Tribolium castaneum: one gene and its partner. The protein of the gene in region 2 purifies or fractionates together with the protein of the main gene of each other region. This does not show direct contact. Links are inferred from orthologs where the notes say so. Each region holds a gene or a part of one and is shown on either strand. Other genes may lie near its edges.

The links.
Region 1: the proteins of ptc (region 2) and hh purify together in Drosophila melanogaster (affinity purification with western blotting; 3 studies listed by BioGRID). This does not show direct contact. The link is inferred for Tribolium castaneum from reciprocal best matches to the Drosophila melanogaster genes ptc and hh.

Annotation. Positions count from the first base shown.
Region 1 is NC_087397.1:309,554-313,647, forward strand, and holds the start of hh (hedgehog), read right to left. Parts: upstream 2,802-4,094; 5' UTR 2,783-2,801; intron 1-2,782.
Region 2 is NC_087403.1:6,989,711-6,993,103, forward strand, and holds part of ptc (patched), read left to right. Parts: intron 1-819; exon of another isoform or gene 820-1,132; coding exon of another isoform or gene 1,133-1,150; intron 1,151-1,209; coding exon 1,210-1,736; intron 1,737-2,517; coding exon 2,518-2,998; intron 2,999-3,053; coding exon 3,054-3,393. UniProt on the Drosophila melanogaster protein: Segmentation polarity protein. Acts as a receptor for the hedgehog protein (hh). Associates with the smoothened protein (SMO) to transduce the hedgehog signal leading to the activation of wingless, decapentaplegic and patched itself.

The DNA of each region.
Region 1 (4,094 bases), on a different chromosome or scaffold from region 2:
CCTCAATTACGGCAAAATTATTCGAAAAAGTGGAACTATTTTGATTCTGTCTTATGTAATATGATCCGAGGAATCGATTGGCATCGAAAAATCGTCAAATTCCCAACAGTTTTTTAGTTATGAAGCTTTTTTATATTACTAATTTTGTAAACTGTTAACCGAAGAATAATGATCTTTCTTGAAACAAATAATTAAAAGAAAAATTGAGTTATGTATACTTCAAGAATTCCAAACGCAATTAGAAAATTTGGGGTTTAAGTTTACCTAAAATTTGAAAACTCCATTTTTTTTCTTGTAATTTCCCCAAAAAACAGGAATGTTACCGATTTAAAAAAAGGTATGAATTAAAAAAAAATCTAAATAAGTGGAATTATTTCGAAAACAACTAAACTTTGGTTTAAAAAAATTCTAAGAAAAATTACAACTTAATTTTTTATGAGATGTTAAGGGCTATGACCTACAAGTTCCAGAGTTATCGATAACCAAATGAGAAACATTTCGAAAAAAAAACCTTATCAAAAGAATTGGATCAGCAATCAAACGGCGTAAAAATCTCAACCTTGTGTCAACAACAATAAGCCAGATAAGAATTTAGCACGGTGTGTTGTTTGCTCACCTTTTTCAGAATCTTTTCTCCCGGGTTTTAATAGACGGTAGCTAATCAGGTTCGTGAAAATTTTGTTGTGACAATTCAGCGTGACAATATTTATGACCTGCCCCAAGTTTTGTAATCTATTCAAGTCGTAGAGAAAGCAACGATAAATAAACCGCTCACAATTGGTGCTAATTTTCCATGACTTTTTTTTCAAATGAATGAAAATATTTCACTGTTTGTAAACACTACTGTAATCGCGATTTTATCACCAATATGATTAAGCCAACAATAAAAAAAAACTGATGTAATACAATCGCATTGTTGGGTTAATTCGTAGCTCAAACACTGTGTTTTTCAACTGGATGCTTTCAGTGAGATGCTAACTTTTACGAACAACACCATTTCTTTTTCCGACTGCGCTTCATTAGCACTTCCGAGATGTTAAGGTACCGAACAATGAAAGAGTTTTTCCGAAAACACCAAACTTTCTCTTTGTTTTCATTACACTGAAGGAGCAAAGTTTTTTCATTTCAGCTCCCCAGCAGCGTTGTTGCCTTAATTAATACATTTGTTTTTATCGCCACAACAATAAAATTTCATTTGCTCGTAAATTTGCGCAATCTATCATTTCGGGTAATTGCAGGTGTTAATAATAAATAGAAATTCCAGATTTATCATCCGAGTGACAATTCTGAGTATGGCTTGCATAACTTTGTTGGCTTTGAGTAAATAATACTTGGTTCTTGTGGGCAATTAGCAGCGATAAGAAAAGGTTTAGGCGCCAAAATTCCCACGATAAACCACCTGATGCTATAAGGGGTGACACCGGATAGCTACCCTCCATTAGGTAGGGAAGGGAAATCGATTTATGAATGACTTCTGGTTAAGGCGGAAATTGACTGTTATTTATTTGAGATAAAGGAAAAACTGAAACCGCAAATCGTCATCATGATTTGGTCACCTTTTGTGTGTCTTTTCAATCACTTTAGTGCGGGGAAAACCACTCATTTTTGTTTAAATAATAATTATTGACTGCTTTTCGGTTTTTTCTAAATAAACTATAGAATGGAGGTGAATTATTTATTCTTAAGTTTCATACGGAAATCATAAAGAAGAAAAGAAGTAGGTACAAAGTGCAAAGAAGTGAAGTAAAAACAATGAATACAAACAGAATATAAAAGACCACAAACAACTTGGCAAAAGAAAAAAATATGCTCAAAGACATTAGGTAAAGCACACAATTTCTTCTCAAATACGAATTTTAAAAAATCATCACTAGTTGGTTATTAGTTTTTTTATATTAACCCCCGACTTAAAGAAGGTAAATTAATTTATACAGTTATTAGAAAATTAATACGCAAATAAATAGCAAATCAAAGTAGTAAAATGTCAGGAAAAACTGAGTTTTATTCGCATATTTTAAAGGTTAATTATTGTAATAAGTACCATTAAATACAATTTCAATTACTACTTACCTTTTTGTAGTAATAAACATGAACAAATCCAGAAAAAACATTAAATTATAAGTTAAAATTAAGGTAACTTTAATTTTTTAATGATCGTTCCAATTATTTTGGAAAATTTCGTCCAAAATTATTGGAAAAATAACTACTTTTTGTAAATTTTGTAAATTAATGTTTGTAGAAGCTGAAAAATTACCGTCACTCACACTGATATTGTCTTACTTTTTTTGTAAGCATTTTTGATCCAAAAACTCTTTTATTTTATCAGATTTCGTAAAAACTAGCTAACAAATCAATAGTTTAAGCCAAAAGTAAGAATTTTTTGCTTAAAAACATCATCATATACGTAACATTTTCAATGGAAATTATTTTTTACGTACTCTAAATTGCCAAATGGGTGTGTGAGGGCTGCTTGCTGGCGTAGGTAAGGTAAGAAAAAAGTCAGTGATAAAAAACGACCGAATGAAGAAATTTGTGGAATTCGTGTGTATGCAAATGTGTGTCCCGCCGCAATAATTGAAAGCATTTAATCTCACTCGAAAGAATTCCGATCGTTCACATTTCGAACGAATCGAGCTCTAGTGAGAATAAATAAATTTCCAAAGTGTGTGAAGAAGAAACGAAGGAACTAACGAACGAACGGTGGTCCTCAAAACCCACATAGTCGTCGGACATCACAAGTGACTAAGGCCACGAAAACATTCATTAGTACAAGAACTGTCACCTGATAAAGGAGCAGCCGTGTCGGCAAACGGACCTCCGTAAATCTTCAGCGGGTTTGTAGTGTTTGGACTAATGCCGACCGCCTAAAAGCCAACGACTGTTAGGCAGTTGACGAAGGTGAGTTCCGTGTGTTTGTTGCTTGCTTGCTTGCTTGCCTGCCTGATGTTTTGACATTCAATCGGACCTCCTCCAACTAACACAACACTAAACCATTTATTTCAGATCGGTTTCAAACCCATTTCTACTTCTATATTCTCTTTTATTTGACAATAATTCGATAATTAACAATCTATAGAAAATAGATTTAATCACTAAATACACAAATAAACATAAATTTTAATAAAATAGCCAAGTCATTTGGCTCCAAATATTTATCTTATAAAAAAACTCAATTTTAAAATGACATTGTTTTTACTCTTGTTACGACTTTTCTGAACGTTTTTGACTCTAAAAATGAAAATTTTTGCCGAATTTCATCATAAATTTTTCAAGAAATCACAAAATTTGTGTATTTTGTACATTTTTTAGTAAAAGTAATTAAAAAATACCTAAACTATTGTCAAATTTGCGCCGCTTTTCAAGCATTTTTACATAAAAGCTAATAAGTTAAGATTATTTTTGAACTTTTTTTGAGGTTTCAGTTCCTTTTTCAGGCAGAAATTCACTCATTTCGCGAAATTCAAAATAAAAAAATACAAAGTTGAGTCAAAAAACACAAATTTGTTCTTTTTTCAAAGCGTTTCAGCACTTTGTCAGCCTGAAACACAAAAGTTTTCTAAAATTTTGTCCAAAATTTAATGATTTTTAAGCTAGATAAGCATTTATTTTTCTGAATTTTGTCAAAAATAAACCGTCCAAGAAAGAATTGACATATGTCAAAAACTATGATAGTTAAGTACTAACAAGTTTAGTAAATTTTTGTACTTCCGGAAGTATAGTCATTTTGAAAATGATTTCAGTTTTCAGTCATAGCTTTATGCAAGTTAAAAAATGCATCAGTCTGTATAGTTTCCAGTCTACAATCGAATAAAAGAAAAATGTTAGTGGTTGGAATCTTTCAGTGGTCTAATAATTCCATATAAACCTTGCGTTAAGAGTTCTCTTGTGTGTACTTTAGCACGTCTCAATTTTCTCTCGTTTGTATTAATTTGTGAATGAAATGTGGTCGTTGTTGGTTAGTTTTCCCACAATGGTATCGTGTAATTAGGTCCTTAAATTTAACAGCCTTGTCCTGGCACATAAAAATCGTATCTAGTTTTTGAGTTTGCGAAGAAGTTTATAACTCAGTAATTGGATATTACGGTCGTGTAAAC
Region 2 (3,393 bases):
GGAGCACCTACTTTCCTCTCTTTTTAAAAATGCACGCTCAACTCGCAAATTTAAATTCAGAACGGCAACAAATAAAGATTATGCACATGACTCGGGTTTTAATGAAAATAATCGAACTTATTTTATTTATTTTATATGTAAATGCGGTTTTATGGCTTTTTTATGCCAGGTAATTGCAATATTTGAGCGGTAAAGGCCTCGCTATTTCGGACGGAAACGGTTTTATTGATTAGCAGGGAAATGACCACTGAAATTTTGATGAATGTCTCCCAATTTAGTGAACATTCCGTTCGCATGAGCCAGCGGTTTAATGGACAACAGGAATGCCACATAAAAAATAAATACCCGAAATTGAATGCTGGCGGTTTTGTGACATAATCTGCGAGCGGAGGCTGTTGGCACCGAGCCACGATCGCCAAATTCATGACGAGGGCTCACATTTCCTATCAGCCCTTCATACACACAAAAGCTAAATAACTTATTATATATTAGTATAACTTCGTACATATACAGGCTGTCCCAATATTAGAAAACACCAAAGTTATGTTTTTTCAAATGGAACATTTTTGGGTTTAAAAAAACTTTAAAGAACAGTAGAATCGAAGGGAACACAAGTATTATACCAAGTATATAGAATATAGTATGTCATACGTCATACTTAGTCATAACAGGTGCCAAAATCTCAAGAAATCGATTTGTATCGAAAAGTCAGTGGTGGTTTTTGTTAATTGTGTCGTGAGGAGTTGTTGGAATTTGGGGTCGGGAGGGGTTTGGTGGGCGTTCGTGCGTACAGGGTGTCCTAAAATAATGGCATATCGGTACTGGCGATAAAAATGTCGTCGTTTGTATAATATAGTAATGAAAGAAGAGGAAGCAGAGGAGGAATGTGTGGTGGTTCCTTTTCGGGGTTGCGTGGTCGTTTCGGTGCGAGGGCATGTCGTGTGACAGCTGTGAGATATGGTATGGCGGTGTGTATCTGTCGAGTATGAGTAGTGATTGGCAATATTGTTGAATCGGAGTGATCGGAGTAATGGTAGGCCGCTGCGGCCGTAGGTAGGCTTGCTAGCGTTGGACGATCCTTCCTAGAAGGACAGTCTAGGCGGTGAAGTGCGGCGGAGATTGCCGTATCCATATGTATGCAACTTGGGTGGTCCGTGTGACGTCAGGCCGCTGCTTGGGTGGTCCATTGCATGGTATACTCTGTTGCAGGGCAAAGCGAGCGGAGACCGCGGCATTCTGTGGGTTCGTGGCCGAATTCAGCGCCAGCTGCGCTCCCTGGGCCGCATCCTCGATACGCACGCCGGCAAGTTCCTCTTCGTGAGCGTGCTGGCGATCGCCACCTTCTCCGTGGGCCTGAAGAGCATGGCCTTCCACTCGGACATCGAGCTGCTGTGGGCCGAGCCCTCCACGGGCGCCGAGGCGACGCCGCAGGAGATGCTCTCCACGCACCAGATGATCGTGCAGACGGCCGTCGAGCCCGACATCGACCTCCTGCATCCGCACGGCCTCCTGGAGCACCTCGCGCTCCTCCAGAAGGCCACGCAGGTCACCATCACGATGTTCGACATCACCTGGCGCCTCAAGGACTTCTGCCAAGCACCCAGCATTCCCAATTTTGATGCGCACTTTATTGAACAGATTTTCGAAAATATGATGCCCTGCTCCATCATCACGGCGCTCGACTGCTTCTGGGAAGGCTCCAAATTGCTCGGACCTGATTATCCTGTCCATATACCGTAAGTTCGGAAAACCGACCGACTTGGAGGGTGGTCACGGGCTCAGCAGCTGCCCTTTTATAACCAACTCAAATGTCTTACCTACCGCGACCGTTCCCGGAACAACAGCCAAAATGCTCGCAAAAAGGCTGATCACCCGTTTTATTCAAAATATTTACTTTTTTTCATCGTCTTATTTAATTTCATTTTTAATCCGGAATCGGAATCGAGTAATTCATATTTTTTTGGCTTGGCGAAAGAACGTAACATTATTTACGCCTTTCTTTTCAACAACAATTAACTAATTTAACTACAGTTTACATTTTTCATTTGAAATAGGGGAGATCTCGAGAGTTCGCAATGTACTCATTTTATAGAAACATAGTGAAGAGTTTGGATTAAAAAAGTGTCATAATTTCAAATTTCAAGCAATTAATTTATTAATTGGATAATTATAGTTGGTTTTGTTACATGATGATTTGTTTTTACAATAAATAAACAAAATTTCTCAAAATCCAATACTTCTTGTAATTTCGTTATGCATTTATGTTACATTAATCCATCTGAATCATATGTTCACGTATTAAGGCCTAAAATATGCGACAAGTCATTCATTTTTGAATTCTCACTTAGATTCTTTTACCGAAAATCTTAAGGCAGTATAGATAAACATGAAGAAAAGTGTCATCAAAATATTGATACATAATTTTTGTTGTTAAATTTCGATTCAGAGCATTAAATTTACAAAAAAAAGTAACCCAAAGTGTGATTTGGGTTTTATCTGGAGTTTATTTGTTTCTAGATATGGAATAGGCAAGCATATAAAATGGACAAACCTCAACCCCAGTCAGTTAGTATCCGAGTTAAAGCAAAAAGAATCCCAGTTTGATTATCATTCTTTAGAGGATTATTTCAAGCGTGCTGGAATAACCTCTGGATATCAGGAAAAGCCGTGTTTGAACCCCCGCGACCCGGAATGTCCAGTGACGGCTCCAAATTACAATTCGAGTCAAAATTTAGATATTGGTGCTGAACTAACCAGTGGTTGTTACGGTTTCGCCGCGAAATACATGCACTGGCCGGAAGACTTGATCGTTGGCGGTGCCAATAAGAATAAATCTGGTCATATTAAACAAGCCAAAGCTTTACAAACTGTTGTACAATTAATGGGCGAACACGAACTGTTCGAATTCTGGTCTGGACATTACAAAGTGCACCACATCGGATGGAACCAGGAGAAGGCCACAACCGTACTGAACGCCTGGCAGAAGAAGTTCGCACAGGTTGGTGGTTGGCGCAAGGAGTAGAGTGAATGGTGGTAATTTTTGGTTGTTCCAGGAGGTGGATCGTCTGACGAAGAGCAAGAAGTCGTCGAATTACATCTTCGTGACGTTCTCCACCGCCAATTTGAACAAGATGTTGAAGGAGGCGTCGAAGACGGACGTGGTGAAGCTGGGGGTGGTGCTGGGGGTGGCGGCGGTGTACGGGTGGGTGGCCCAGTCGGGGCTGGCTGCCTTGGGAGTGCTGGTCTTGGCGAGCTCAGCCGCCGCCGCGCTGGGCGTTTGCAGTTTGATCGGACTGCCGATAAACCTACTGAGCACGCATGTGTTACCTTTTGTTACTGTTGGACTCGCAATGAGAGAAATGTTCCTTATTTTGTCGACGCATATGAGGAATC